Macaca fascicularis: one gene and its partner. The protein of the gene in region 1 binds, or shares a complex with, the protein of each later gene. Links are inferred from orthologs where the notes say so. Each region holds a gene or a part of one and is shown in the gene's direction. Other genes may lie near its edges.

Region 1 (7,840 bases):
GGTATTTGACATCTCCCATTTACACCTCAGAATAACCCTGTAAAGTTTAGGAATTTTTATTTTATACAGCTACTTCCTGGAAAAACCAGAATTTTTTTTTTTTTTTTTTAAGAGACTCTGGCACCTAGGCTGGAGTGTAGTAGTGCCCTCATGGCTCACTGCAGCCTCAAACTTCTGGGCTCAAGTGATCCTCTTGCCTCAGCCTCCTGAGTAGCTGGGACTACAGGCAAATGCCACCATGTCCAGCTATTTATCTATTTTGAGACAGGATCTCCATTACTCAAGCTAGAGTGCAGTGGTGCAATCACAGCTCACTGCAGTCTCGACCTTCCAGGCTCAGGTGATCCTCCCACCTCAGCTTCCCAAGTAGCTAGGACTACAGGTGCACGCCAACATGCTCAGCTAATTATTATTATTATTATTATTATTATTATTATTATTATTATTATTATTTTGAGAGACGGGGCTTCACCATGTTGCCCAGGCTGATCTCAGACTCCTGGGCTCAAGTGATTCACCTGCCTCAGCCTCTCAAAGTACAGGTGTGAGCCACTGCTCCAGGCCCCAGCTAACTTCCTTATTTTTTGTAGAGGCATGGTCTCACTGTGTTGCCCAGGCTGGTCTCAAACTCCTAGGCTCAACTGATTCTCCCACTTCAACCTTCCAAAGTATTGGGACTACCGGCTGGGAGCAGTGGCTCACGCCTGTAATCCCAGCACTTCAGGAGGCCGAGGCAGAAGGATCGCTTGAGGTCAGGAATTTGAGACCAGCTTGGCCAACATGGTGAAACCCCGTCTCTACTAAAAATACAGAAATTAGGCTGGGCGTGGTGGCTCACTCCAGTAATCCTCACACTTTGGGAGGGAGGCCAAGGTGGGTGGATCAGTTGAGGTTAGGAGTTCAAGACCAGCCTGGCCAATATGGTAAAACCCCATATCTACCAAAATATAAAAATTAGCCGGGCCTGGTGGCACACCTGTAATCCCAGCTACTTGGGAGGCAGAGGCAGGAGAATCACTTTGAACCCAGGAGGCAGAGGTTGCAGTGAGCTGAGATTGCACCACTGCACTCCAGCCTGGCCAACAGAGCGGGACTCTTGTCTCAAAAAAAAAAAAAAAAATACACACACACACATACACACACCCCACACACACTATCCCGATGTGGTGGCAGGCGCCTGTAATCCCAGCTACTCGGGAGGCTAAGGCAGGAGAAGAATCACTTGAACCCAGGAGGCGGAGGCTGCAGCCAGCTGAGATCACACCACTACACTCCAGCCTGGATGACAGTGAGACTTTGTCTCAAAAAAAAAACAAAAAAAAGTGTTGGGATTACAGGTGTGAGCCACTGCTTCCAGCCCCTAGATCTAATTTGAAAGCCCTTATTTTTTTCCCATCTGCTCTACTGTTCAGCCAAAGATTGTGACTGGAGAGGAGTGTTTTCTTCTAGAGGTAAATAAATGGCCTATATATTACCCAAGGTGGAATTTGGGTCTCTGTAGCCCCAGTTTGGACCAGTGTTTGGAGAGCTGAAGCCTCATCCCACTCCTTATGCTGCAAGATCCATGGAGTTCCAGCCCCCTGGACTATTGGGGAGCTTGGAGAAGAGAGCCATGAACATCTGCCCACATTGCATTCTCTTCTCTTAGCTTGAGTCACCATGCCTAAGCTTGGGTTCCACTTGGCAGTGAGATGGAGAGAATGTCCTAAAAGAGATAATATGGCAGTGACCACCAGGTTGGAAACTGGCCTGGTGAAGAACAGCAGAAGATTGATTGGGAAAAGAGAAGGCTAAGAGATGACTGGCCCTGGTGGGTGAGGTGCAAAGCTGTTGGCTAGTGTTCCTGGAGATAGGCTTATGTGAAGGTAGGTTGGGCAGAAGAAAGAACTTTGTGTTGGGCATAGAAGAGATTAAGATGAACAATTTGCTCTGTGGAGAACCTTTGGGAAAGGAGCAACTCTGCCTCTCCCAGCTGATACAGAAGACTTGGGGAGGTCTCTCAAGTCAAGGATTCTGTTCTTTGACCACTTTTATCCCTTAATTTATTTCCTGTTCTTTCTCTTTTTAGCTCCCAGGGTTGCTAGAGCTCCTTGTAGAATATTTCCGACGATGCCTGATTGAGATCTTTGGCATTTTAAAGGAGTATGAGGTGGGTGACCCAGGACAGAGAACGCTACTGGATCCTGGGAGGTTCAGCAAGGTGTCTAGTCCAGCTCCCATGGAGGGTGGGGAAGAAGAAGAAGAACTTCTAGGTCCTAAACTAGAAGAGGAAGAAGAAGAGGAAGTAGTTGAAAATGATGAGGAGATAGCCTTTTCAGGCAAGGACAAGCCAGCTTCAGAGAATAGTGAGGAGAAGCTGATCAGTAAGTTTGACAAGCTTCCAGTAAAGATCGTACAGAAGAATGACCCATTTGTGGTGGACTGCTCAGATAAGCTTGGGCGTGTGCAGGAGTTTGACAGTGGCCTGCTGCACTGGCGGATTGGTGGGGGGGACACCACTGAGCATATCCAGACCCACTTCGAAAGCAAGACAGAGCTGCTGCCTTCCCGGCCTCATGCACCCTGCCCACCAGCCCCCCGGAAGCATGTGACAACAGCAGAGGGTACGCCAGGGACAACAGACCAGGAGGGACCCCCACCTGATGGACCTCCAGAAAAACGGATCACAGCCACTATGGATGACATGTTGTCTACTCGGTCTAGCACCTTGACCGAGGATGGAGCTAAGAGTTCAGAGGCCATCAAGGAGAGCAGCAAGTTTCCATTTGGCATTAGCCCAGCACAGAGCCACCGGAATATCAAGATCCTAGAGGACGAACCCCACAGTAAGGATGAGACCCCACTGTGTACCCTTCTGGACTGGCAGGATTCTCTTGCCAAGCGCTGTGTCTGTGTCTCCAATACCATTCGAAGCCTGTCATTTGTGCCAGGCAATGACTTTGAGATGTCCAAACACCCAGGGCTGCTGCTCATCCTGGGCAAGCTGATCCTGCTGCACCACAAGCACCCAGAACGGAAGCAGGCACCACTAACTTATGAGAAGGAGGAGGAACAGGACCAAGGGGTGAGCTGCAACAAAGTGGAGTGGTGGTGGGACTGCTTGGAGATGCTCCGGGAAAACACCTTGGTTACACTCGCCAACATCTCGGGGCAGTTGGACCTATCCCCATACCCCGAGAGCATTTGCCTGCCTGTCCTGGACGGACTCCTACACTGGGCAGTTTGCCCTTCAGCTGAAGCCCAGGACCCCTTTTCCACCCTGGGCCCCAATGCCGTCCTTTCCCCGCAGAGACTGGTCTTGGAAACCCTCAGCAAACTCAGCATCCAGGACAACAATGTGGACCTGATTCTGGCCACACCCCCCTTCAGTCGCCTGGAGAAGTTGTATAGCACTATGGTGCGCTTCCTCAGTGACCGAAAGAACCCGGTGTGCCGGGAGATGGCTGTGGTACTGCTGGCCAACCTGGCTCAGGGGGACAGCCTGGCAGCTCGTGCCATTGCAGTGCAGAAAGGCAGTATCGGCAACCTCCTGGGCTTCCTAGAGGACAGCCTTGCCGCCACGCAGTTCCAGCAGAGCCAGGCCAGCCTCCTCCACATGCAGAACCCACCCTTTGAGCCAACTAGTGTGGACATGATGCGGCGGGCTGCCCGCGCGCTGCTTGCCCTGGCCAAGGTGGACGAGAACCACTCAGAGTTTACTCTGTACGAATCACGGCTGTTGGACATCTCGGTATCACCGTTGATGAACTCATTGGTTTCACAAGTCATTTGTGATGTACTGTTTTTGATTGGCCAGTCATGACAGCCGTGGGACACCTCCCCCCCTGTGTGTGTGTGCGTGTGTGGAGAACTTAGAAACTGACTGTTGCCCTTTATTTATGCAAAACCACCTCAGAATCCAGTTTACCCTGTGCTGTCCAGCTTCTCCCTTGGGAAAAAGTCTCTCCTGTTTCTCTTTCCTCCTTCCGCCTCTCCCCGTCCACCACCTCACGCCTTTCTGTTCCTTGACCTCACCTTGCTCCCCTCAGGACCCCACCCCACCCTCTTTGAAAAGACAAAGCTCTGCCTACATAGAAGACTTTTTTTATTTTAACCAAAGTTACTGTTGTTTACAGTGAGTTTGGGGAAAAAAAAATAAAATAAAAATGGCTTTCCCAGTCCTTGCATCAACGGGACGCCACATTTCATAACTGTTTTTAATGGTAAAAAAGAAAAAAGGAAAAAAATACAAAAAAAAAAATTCTGAAGGACAAAAAAGGTGACTGCTGAACTGTGTGTGGTTTATTGTTGTACATTCACAATCTTGCAGGAGCCAAGAAGTTCGCAGTTGTGAACAGACCCTGTTCACTGGAGAGGCCTGTGCAGTAGAGTGTAGACCCTTTCATGTACTGTACTGTACACCTGATACTGTAAACATACTGTAATAATAATGTCTCACATGGAAACGAGAAAACGCTGGGTCAGCAGCAAGCTGTAGTTTTTAAAAATGTTTTTAGTTAAACGTTGAGGAGAAAAAAAAAAGGCTTTTCCCCCAAAGTATCATGTGTGAACCTACAACACCCTGACCTCTTTCTCTCCTCCTTGATTGTATGAATAACCCTGAGATCACCTCTTAGAACTGGTTTTAACCTTTAGCTGCAGCGGCTGCGCTGCCACGTGTGTATATATATGACGTTGTACATTGCACATACCCTTGGATCCCCACAGTTTGGTCCTCATCCCAGCTACCCCTTTATAGTATGACGAGTTAACAAGTTGGTGACCTGCACAAAGCGAGACACAGCTATTTAATCTCTTGCCAGACATCGCCCCTCTTGGTGCGATGCTGTACAGGTCTCTGTAAAAAGTCCTTGCTGTCTCAGCAGCCAATCAACTTATAGTTTATTTTTTTCTGGGTTTTTGTTTTGTTTTGTTTTCTTTCTAATCGAGGTGTGAAAAAGTTCTAGGTTCAGTTGAAGTTCTGATGAAGAAACACAATTGAGATTTTTTCAGTGATAAAATCTGCATATTTGTATTTCAACAATGTAGCTAAAACTTGATGTAAATTCCTCCTTTTTTTCCTTTTTTGGCTTAATGAATATCATTTATTCAGTATGAAATCTTTATACTATATGTTCCACGTGTTAAGAATAAATGTACATTAAATCTTGGTAAGACTTTTGTGAAGCTTTTTATTTTCAAACTAAAACTTGACCTTTGTCGGGGGGTAGGAGGTAGTCCTGTTTTTGCAAACCTCCCTTAGTGTGAGATCTCCCCTAAATAGTGGCATCTGTCCAAAATAAGACAACCATTTATCTGGAGGCAACCTCCAACTTAATCACTTGTAATATCTCTGGACTGGCTCTTTTCCCTGACTCCAGACTAGAGCATTCAGCCATCTTCTTGTCATCCCTGCTTGGAAGTTTACTTTGAACATGCCAAAGCTAAAATGTCCTGTCTTTCCCCCACTAGAAACCTGCTTCTACCATAGTTTTGGTTTTTTGTGTTTTCCTTTCAGTAAATGGCAACTCCATTCTATCACGTGCCAAAAAAATCCTTGACTTCTTTCACTTCCACATCCAATCTGTTAGCACTCTACAAAGTAATCCTCAATCCCGCACTACTACTGTAGTTCAAGACACTGTTATATCTTGGATTCTTGAAATACCTCCAAATTGGCCTCCCTGCTTCTGCTTTGCCTGGTTGAACCTATTCTCAACAGAACAACCAAAAGGACCCCTATAAAAGGTAAGTCAGATAAAATGCCTTCAGTGCTTCTGGCTCTGAGTAAGTAAAAATCCAGACTCGCCGGGCGCGGTGGCTCACGCCTGTAATCCCAGCACTTTGGGAGGCCGAGGCGGGCGGATCACAAGGTCAGGAGATCGAGACCACGGTGAAACCCCGTCTCTACTAAAAATACAAAAAATTAGCCGGGCGCGGTTGTGGGCGCCTGTAGTCCCAGCTACTCGGGAGGCTGAGGCAGGAGAATGGTGTGAACCCGGGAGGCGGAGCTTGCAGTGAGCCGAGATCGCGCCACTGCACTCCAGCCTGGGCGACAGAGCGAGACTCCGTCTCAAAAAAAAAAAAAAAATCCAGACTCAAAGTGGCCTACAAGGCCCTGAGTTATCTAGCTTACCTCTACCTTTCCTGCACCATCCGTCTTGCCCGTTACTCACCCCACTGTACAGAGATGTTTCCACCTTGGAGTCTTTGTACTTTCTACTCTCACCAAATAACTGCATGGCTCAAGTCCTCAGCTGCTTCAAGTCTTTGTCCAAATACATAAGTAAGACTTTTCCTGGTCACCTTACTTAGAATAGCAATCTCTGCCCCCCAACTACATTTCCCTTGTCTGCCTAATTTTTCCTGTGGCACTTGTTACCATCTGGCCTATTACAAGTTATACTTACCTGTCACCTTCCACTGAAATGTAAATTGAGGGTGGTGGGAGGGTTAATTTGTTCTCTGGTGCATCCCTGTGCTAACATACAGCCTGGCACATAGCATCTACTTTAGTAGTAGTTGAATGATACTGTCAATGTTGGCTAGATGGAGTTGCTTTTATGAGGCTAATGTCACAATGTATAGTTTCTCTGTTCACCCCCTTCCTTAGGGAAACTGAGAAGCCTCAAGTTCCTCAGGAGAAATCAGAAGCAGTAAGAGAAAAAAATGCTATTACTGTGGACACTTAGAAGTGAAATCTGAAACAAACAACAGTTTTCTATTGTGTACCTACTTATATTCTGGACATAACACATCACAATCCTACAACAATCCTGTGCCTGTGAAGTCAGTATGTGGCTCCCATTTTACAGCTGAAGAAAGAGGCTAAGAAAAGTGAAAGACTTAAGTTCATACACCAAGCAAGTTCCACCTGACTCCAAGGATCATGCTTTTCTTAATATGCCACACTACCTTCTTTCTTGTCATCCCTGCTTGGAAGTTTACTTTGAACATGCCAAAGCTAAAATGTCCTGTCTTTCTGGATGTCCATCCTTTCTGGATGAGAACCCAACCAGGAGTAAGGGATCTAGCTGTGGAGCTCAGCAAGCAAGATTTGTTTTTATTGTCTTTAACACAAGGTAAAATTGTCCTAAGAATTTCAATCAAGTGTTCATTAGACTAAGTGTGGCTGTTAATATTTGGGTCAGGAACAGGATTTGAATAATTAGTATTTCTCAATTGAGAAAGGAAAACCTTTGTCAACCAAGATGCCTTCCTAGGACTCTTCTAGAAAAAGTTAAATGGGAAGTTTTTCATATCTACAATTTTGGTAAGCAATATTGCTAATGGCTATTTTTGTTCTGGGTCTCGAGCTCCGTTTGCTAGTCTAGAAATGCATATCTGGACTGTGTGTGGAGCATTACCTAGGAGTTCGGTTTCCTGGGTTCCTTTCATCTGCTCTCCTGCAATGCAGGGAGAGCCTAGCCTGGTTCCAGTTTCTGACTGGAGTTACCATGGCCAAGAGAACTGCTGGCCAGTGAGCTGTGAGTAATTTGCTTTTGAGAAGTAAATAGAACCTAGCCAGCAGAGAACCCAGGGGTGTGGCCAGTAGTTCTTTTCCCAGGCTCCTCCCTCCCCACCCCCCAAATGACCTTAACCTTCTTTCATAGCTGGAGAGCAGCCAAGTCCAGCCTAAACAATACTCTAAACCTCATTGGCTCTTTTGCCTTGTAGCCACTGCCACCCCCAAGTGGCTAAGGCCTTCCCACTAGGCCACTCAGTGGGGTCAAGGTTTTCTAACTATTGAAAGGCAAACACTGAAGGAAGGGTGAAAAATATCTAGTGACCATGGGCTTTAAATGATGAGTGTTTGGCTCCTGCAGTTGCAGGCAAGGCAGAGTCTTTGTCCTTGGGTGGA
Region 2 (7,970 bases), on another chromosome or scaffold:
CTCTTGTAATCTAACTTGTCCCATCTTTTTAATGTTACTATCCTGGTCACTGCCACCTCTTTCAAGGGAAAGTCTACTGGTGGCCTCTCGTACGTGCCATGCCATCTCTGCATCTTGCTTGTTAATAATGGTGAGATGTAGTTACCCATGCACCAATCATACTTTTTCCTGGTAGCAGTTGCTGTAATTAGAGGGATTGACTGATAGGGTACCAGTACTTGCCAAGGTTACCATTACAGATCTGGGACTTCCTCTTGGTCTGTGCTCCATTTACATTTACATTCCAATTCAGCAAAAATCCTTTATTATGATGCCTGATTGCACACCATTTTGAAGCCCATGTTAGCAACAGTATTCTTTGGGATACAGGCAAAACCAGAATGACAGTCCAGCCAGCACGCCAAGTGAACTTAACCTGCTCCTTTCTTTGCCAGTGTAGCTGCAGCCCCTTAACCTCAACTACTAAGAGACATGGGAAGGTCTTTACCATCTAATAAGGGAAGTAAGTCATAGAATCAATAGAAACTTGTAAATATATTAATTTAATTTTATAGCAGTAGAGTATAGTGGCTAAGAATGTGGACTATAGAATCAAACACACCAGAGCTCAAATGGTGGCTCCGCCACTTATTGGCTGTTTGACCTAGGCAAGTTACTCTATTCTGCTGAGCATCGTTTTCTCACCTGTAAAATAAGTATAATTGTGCCTATCTTGTATAGATGTTTGGGAAGTGAGATAATCCAGGCAAATGTCTTAGAATACTCTCACACGTAGTTAAGTACTCAGTAAATGATAGCTATGTTATGTTACTGTTCACATGTGTATTATCCATTTTGTGGATAGAATTATCACTGGACATTCAGGCTTATTTAAATGCAACCACAAACAGAATTAAAAGGTTAATCTACTTATACACAGACAGTAATCCCAGAGCCATATGCAGTTTTTTAAAATGCCTCATGCTATTGCTCTTCTCCAGTAGCCTCAGTAATCAAAGTTGAATATTCAGTCATTACAGAAGCTCTTCCCTCCCACCCCAGCTCTTCCTCTGGGAGAGCACCCCCTGACATCTTCCTCTCTGTAGTGGCACAGGACCGCCACTACCCAGGAGACCGATGGCTTTCAGGTGAAGCGGCCGGGAGATGTGAATGTACGGTGTACTGTCCTACTGATGCTGGATTACCAGGTATTCTGTGGTGGTGTGAGGGGGTCCAGCTTTTACAGCCATATCCTGTCAGCGAGCTCACTTTAAAGGGTTTATGTCTAGTTGTGAATAATTTGCCACTTTGTCACAGAGATAGAGTCTTAGTCATCTCTGAGTTCTTCCTAGAATGTTTCTGTCCCAGAAAAAGCACTACATTGTTGTTGAATAGTTTGAATGTATTGCTGCATATAGACCCAGCTAACTAGCTTCATCCCCTATACCCTTTGGTTCCCTGCAGCCTCCCCAGTTTAAATTAGACCCCCGCCTAGCTCGGCTCTTGGGCATCCACACCCAGACTCGTCCAGTGATCATCCAAGCACTGTGGCAATATATTAAGACACATAAGCTCCAGGACCCTCATGAGCGGGAGTTTGTCATCTGTGACAAGTACCTGCAGCAGGTAAGTAATGGACCCATTCTTTTGCTAGAATCCATTAGAACACTAGCTACACTCAAAATGCTAAGCTCGTGCTTCTCTCCTTTGCCACAGATCTTTGAGTCTCAACGTATGAAGTTTTCAGAGATCCCGCAGCGGCTCCATGCCTTGCTTATGCCACCAGAACCTATTATCATTAATCATGTCATCAGGTAGGCCTGTGTGTGGGAGGCAGTGCTGTGCCGGAGCTGCCTTGTACCAGTTTGCACAAGCTAGTTGTCAAATTTTCAGGAATTTTGCAAATAGGTTGTTAAACACAGCTGTTACTTTACAATTAAATTACATAAACTTATAATTAAATATATTAGTCTAAAAGTGGGTAACATATACTCAAAATGTATTACTTTCTCATTATTACATTTTATTGTATTTGTGCTCTTGAGGTTATTTTTGCCTGTTGTATACATCTGGTGGAAATATGATATAATGATATGATGTGCTTATATGTTATTGTGCATCTCTTCTCATGAACAGTAATGTAATGTTGGTAGCTTGAAATCAGAATTTTTTTTTTTTTTTTGAGATGAAGTTTCATTCTTGTTACCTATGCTGGAGTGCAGTGGCGCAATCTTGGCTCACCGCAACCTCTGCTTACTGGGTTCAAGTGATTCTTCTGCTGCAGCCTCCCACATAGCTGGGATTACAGGCATGTGTCACCATGCCTGGCTAATTTTGTATTTTTAGTAGAGATGGGGTTTCTTCATGTTGGTCAGGCTGGTGTTGAACTCCTGACCTCGGGTGATCCGCCCGCCTTGGCCTCCCAAAGTGCTGGGATTACAGGCCTGAGCCGCTGTGCCCAGCCTTTTGTTTTGTTTTGTTTTGAGATGGAGTTTCGCTCTTGTTGCCCAGGCTGGTGTGCAGTGTCATGATCTCGGCTCACTGAAACCTCCACCTCCCGAGTTCAAGCGATTCTTCTACCGCAGCCTCCCATGTAGCTGGGATTACGGGCACCTGCCACCATGCCCAGCTAATTTTTTTATGTTTTTAGTAGTGATGGGATTTCACGATGTTTGCCAGGCTGATGTCAAACTCCTGACCTCAGGTGATCTGCCCGCCTTGGCCTCCCAAAGTGCTGGGATTACAGGTGTCAGCCACTGAGCCCGGCCGAAATCAGATTATTTAAAGCCCAAAGATCAGCAAATGCACGTATCTGGGCACTTCCTCCTGCTCTCCTTTGGAAGATCAGTTGTTAAACATTTACCAGCTCTTCACTGATGGAAGAGCTCAGTGGCCATCTTTTCTCTGGATGGTACAGCATTCTATTCTGAGCCTCCAATTCCATTACTTCTATTCACTTTTTTGTTTAGAGGATGGAGAGCAAGGCATCTCTAGGCAGATAGGAAGTGAAGAAAATTCCTTCTCAAAGAAGCATGGCTCTGTAGTTGGATATAGTCTCTTTGCCTTTCTTCCTTTATTCCATATTAATTCCAGTAAGGACTTTTTTTTCTTTTTTTTTCTTTTCTTTTCTTTTTTTTTTTTTTTTTTTTGAGACAGAATCTCATTCTGTCGCCAGGCTGGAGTGCAGCGGTGCAATCTCAGCTCACTGCAACCTCCACCTCCTGGGTTCAAGCGATTCTCCTGCCTCAGCCTCCTGAGTAGCTGGGATTACAGCATGCCAGTACGCCCCGGTGATTTTTTGTATTTGAGTAGAGATGGCGTTTCACAGTGTTGGCCAGGATGGTCTCGATCTCCTAACTCTGTGATCCACCTGCCTCAAGCCTCCCAAAGTGCTGGGATTACAGGCACGAGCCACCACGCCTGGTGGGCTTTTTTTTTTCTTTTGACCCTGAACCTACAAGATGACAGAGAGGGAGAGGGGAGAAAAAGAAGAAAGATAAGACCCTGAACCATTACTTACGCAGTAGTAACTCCTCGACCTATAAATTAGGTCAGTAGAAGTTGGTCTGTCCTGTATTCCTATGCTTAAAGTTAGACCACTTTTAATTTTGTGTTTGACTTTATTTTTGGGGTCAATTTTAGTTTAAAAGGGAGAAAGCCAGGCACAGTGGCACGTTCCTGTAGACCCAGCTACTCCAGAGGCGAAGGTGGGTAGATATTTGAGTCCTGGAGTTCGAGTCCGGCCTGGGCAACATAGCAAAATCCTGTCTCTGAAACAATGAAAAAAAGTTTGTTTGGTCAGGTGTAGTGGCTCACGTCTGTAATTCCAGCACTTCGGGAGGCCAAGGCGGGCGGATCACAAGGTCAGGAGTTCAAGACCAGTCTGGCCAATATGGTGAAACCCCATCTCTACTAAAAATACAAAAATTAGGTGGGTGTGGTGGTGGGCACCTGTAGTCCCAGCTACTTGGGAGGCTGAGGAAGGAGAATCGCTTGAACTTGGGAGGCAGACGTTGCAGTGAGCCGAGATTGTGCCACTGCACTCCAGCCTGGGCAACAGAGCGAGACTCCATCTTTAAAAAAAAAAAAAAAAAAGCTTCGTTTGTTTAAACATATATAGAGTCTCGCTCTGCCAGACTGGAATGCAGTGGCGTGATCTTTGCTCACTGTAACCGCTGCCTCCCAGGTTCAAGCAATTCTTGTGCCTCAGCCTCCCAAGTAGTTGTCATTACAGGCATGCGCCACTTTTTGTATTTTTAGTAGAGATGGAGTTTCACCATGTTCGCCACACTGGTGTTGAATTCCTGGCCTTGAGTGATCTGCCCGTGTTGGCCTCCCAGAGTGCTGGGGTTACAGGCATGAGCCACCACACTTGGCCAAAAAAGTTTTAAAAATTATTATTATTATTATTTTTTTTTTTTTGAGACAGAGTCTCTCTCTGTTGCCCAGGCTGGAATGCAGTGGTGTAATCATGGCTCACTGCATCCTCGACCTCCTGGGCTCAAGTGATCCTCCCACCTCAGCCTCCTGAGTAGCTGGGATCACAGATGTGTGCCACCTAGCCCAGGAATTATTTTGAAATTTTTTGTAGAACCTGGGGTCTTACTGTGTAGTATAGGCTGGTCTCAAACTCGTGGGCTCAAGCAGTCCTCCTACTTCAGCCTCCCAAAGTGTTAGGATTACAGGCATGAGCCACCATGGCTCGCCAAAATTTTTTTTTTTTTTTGAGACCATCTCACTCTGTCACCCAGGCTGAAGTGTAGTGGCATGAACTTGGCTCACTATAACCTCTGCTTCCCAGGTTCAAGAGATTCTCCTGCCTCAGCTTCCCCAGTAGCTGGGATTACAGACATAAGCTACCATGTCTGGCTAATTTTTAGTAAAAATGGGGTTTCACCATGTTCCTGACCTCAGGTGATCACCCACCTTGGCCTCCCAAAGTGCTGGGATTACAGGCGTAAGCCACCATGCCTGGCTGCCAAAAATTTTTTTTAAAGGGAGAAAGATATATAGGAGACTGTAGCAGTGATTTCCTTTGGAGAGGAAGGAACTGCTTTTCACCAGATACCTTTTGTACTGCTTCAATTTTTACCATTGACTTTTTAAATAAATAACTTTATTGAAGTATAATTTATATATAACAGAGTATACCAACTGAAAGTGTAGTCTGAAGATTTTTGCCTGATCTGTATACCATGTAGCTGCCACAGTAAAGTATAGAACATTTCTGTCACACCCAGAAGTTGTTGGGCCCTTTTGCAATTAGCCCCTTTTCTCTTCATCCTGGGTCATCTTTTTGACCCTGTGTAATTAGGTCTTAGGGGACAAGCTCTTTACCAGGCCCCTTTGGTTTCCTGTCCAGTGTTGACCCGAATGATCAGAAAAAGACAGCTTGTTATGACATTGATGTTGAAGTGGATGACACCTTGAAGACCCAGATGAATTCTTTTCTGCTGTCCACTGCCAGCCAACAGGAGATTGCTACTCTAGACAACAAGGTAGGGGTCTGTGCCCTGGACGGTTGGGTACCACCAGCCCCTATCACAGCTTCAAGGCCTCCTTTTGATTTTTAGTGTTCATTCAAAATATGGCGACACCCAGTATATGTCAGGTACTGTGCTTGGTGCTGGTTTGAGCCAGACTCAAATGAATTCTGATTGTGGGGATACTCTCAATAGCGCTGAGCCTCAGTTTCTGATTTGTGGAATAGAGACCATGGTACCTTTTTTTTTTTTCTTTTTTCTTTTCAGGAGTCTCACTCTCTCGCCCAGGCTGGAGTGCAGTGGTGCAATCCTGCCTCACGGCAACCTCCACTTCTGGGTTCAAGTGATTCTCCTGCCTCAGCCTCCCAAGTAGCTGGGATTACAGGCACCCACCTTCACACCTGGCTAATTTTTGTATTTTTAGTAGAGACAGGGTTTCGCCATGTTGGCCAGGCTGGTCTCCAACTCCTGACCTCAAGTGATCTGCCCGCCTCGGCCTCCCAAAGTATTGGGATTACAAGCGTGAGCCACCATGCCCAGCCCATAGTACCTATTTTAATCAGGTTGCTATGACAATTAAATGAGGGAGTATATGTAAAGACTTGAGTCTGTATCTGGCACATATAAAAACAACAAATGGTAACTTCTGCTACTATTATTGTTATCTGGATTGTTGTTATTAGACACAGTCCTTGCAAATAAAGCCAAAAGTGCTTTGGGAACACGAAGGAAAAAGGGAGGCTTTGCTGGAAGAGTTGATGCCCCAACTAAATCTTGTTGTTTTTTTTTTTTTTTTTTTTTTTTTTTTTTTGAGATGGAGTCTTGCTCTGTCGCTTAGGCTGGAGTGCAATGGCGTGATCTTGGCTCACTGCAACCTCCGTCTCCTGGGTTCAAGTGATTCTCCTGTCTCAGCCTCCTGAGTAGCTGGGACTACAGGTGCCCGCCACCATGCCCAGCTAATTTTTGTATTTTTAGTAGAGACGGGGTTTCACCATATTAGTCAGACTGGTCTTGAACTCCTGACCTCAGGTGATCCACCCGCTTCGGCCTCCCAAAGTGCTGGTATCACAGGTGTGAGCCACCGCGCCCAGCCCTAATGAAATCTTGAAGGACAAAGTAGGTGTTAATGAAAGGGCAAAAAGGGTAGTGGTGCTGGGGGTATAGGAGGCAGAAGACATTCCAGAAAGAGGGAATAGGGCGTGTAAAGATCCAGAGAGGAGAGAGAGAGCCTGGTGTCTTAAAGAAGTACCAGCCATTTAGTGTGCTAGATACAGCATAGAGTGCCAGGGATGGGATGTTTTGGGAAGGAAAGCTAGATAGGGAGCCAGATGCCTAATCATGAAGAACCTTTGATTCAGGGAAGACTGGTTTATGTTTCATCCTGAAGACTGTGTTGAGAGATCATTACCAGTGGAGGGACTGATGCTATTTGTATGTAGAATCATCATTGCAGGAAGGTGGAGAATAATTTGTCAGAGGGCAGGGCTGGAGGCAGGAAGCCCAGTTAGGAGGCTGGTGCAGTAATCCATGTGAGACGTGTTGAGGCCCTACATTTACAGTCCCGACAGTCAGGGTGGAGATAAGTAGATAGATTTGAGAGGTGTCAAAGTGCAATTGAAGGAATTTGGCCACTGTTGGGATTAGAGTGAGGGGTGAATGAGAAGGAAATGTTATGATGCCTCCCAGGTCTCTAGCTTGGGTGGATAGTAGTATTTACTATGACTGGGAAGAGGGGAGGAGGAGGAGCAGGTATTGGAGAAAGGGTAGTGAATTTAATTTTAGAGATGTCAAGTTTAAGCAGTCGGTTTGGTTGGAGTATAGAAAATAGACTCTGGGCTACAGACTGGGGACTCATTATACTGTCAGTGGTAGTGGAAGACATACAAGTCAAAGAAATTGCTGGGAGGAGTATGTAGAATGAGAAAAGAGTTGAGAACAAAACCCAGAGATGAGAGCTTATGAGACAGCCCCATATGCCAGTCCTTTTCTTCCTGAGAACACTTTTGGACCCATTTGGGCTGTGGAGTAAGTATTCATCATGTAGCTTTGCCCATAGTGGGCACTGAGGAGACCAAAAGGAAAACTTTCCTCACATGGGGTGTACAGAGAGACACAAACAAGAGCAAATTACCTGCTGAAAGAATGCCAAGGGTCGGAGCAGTTGGAACTTTATATGATGGTACCAGCTGTGGGCAGCACTGTGACTAGGTTGGGAGTGGCATGTGGAGTTGTCAGGCACCACCTGCCATTTAACTTCTCATTTTTCTAGTTTGAAAATGGTATGGGCTTCGTTCTTCCTTTCAGATCCATGAGACAATAGAAACCATCAACCAGCTGAAGACTCAGCGGGAGTTCATGCTGAGCTTTGCCAGAGACCCTCAGGGTTTCATCAATGACTGGCTTCAGTCCCAGTGCAGGGACCTCAAGGTAAAGAACCTAGGAGAGGTCTGAAGGGACTTAGGTCAGTGAGGCACACACCTCCTTTATTTATGTAGCAGCTGGTAGAAG

Evidence for each region. The genes of interacting proteins can lie anywhere in the genome.
Region 2: ARID1A (region 1) and SMARCD1 share a complex: the UniProt entries of both Homo sapiens proteins name them as parts of the neuron-specific chromatin remodeling complex. The link is inferred for Macaca fascicularis from reciprocal best matches to the Homo sapiens genes ARID1A and SMARCD1.

What each region holds. Positions count from the first base shown.
Region 1 is NC_088375.1:208,325,967-208,333,806, reverse strand, and holds the end of ARID1A (AT-rich interactive domain-containing protein 1A), read left to right. Parts: intron 1-1,412; coding exon of another isoform or gene 1,413-1,532; exon of another isoform or gene 1,533-1,768; intron 1,769-2,068; coding exon 2,069-3,802; 3' UTR 3,803-5,154; downstream 5,155-7,840. UniProt on the Homo sapiens protein: Involved in transcriptional activation and repression of select genes by chromatin remodeling (alteration of DNA-nucleosome topology).
Region 2 is NC_088385.1:56,919,728-56,927,697, forward strand, and holds part of SMARCD1 (SWI/SNF-related matrix-associated actin-dependent regulator of chromatin subfamily D member 1), read left to right. Parts: intron 1-1,041; exon of another isoform or gene 1,042-1,085; coding exon 1,086-1,187; intron 1,188-1,443; coding exon 1,444-1,605; intron 1,606-1,695; coding exon 1,696-1,793; intron 1,794-5,341; coding exon 5,342-5,477; intron 5,478-7,766; coding exon 7,767-7,889; intron 7,890-7,970. UniProt on the Homo sapiens protein: Involved in transcriptional activation and repression of select genes by chromatin remodeling (alteration of DNA-nucleosome topology).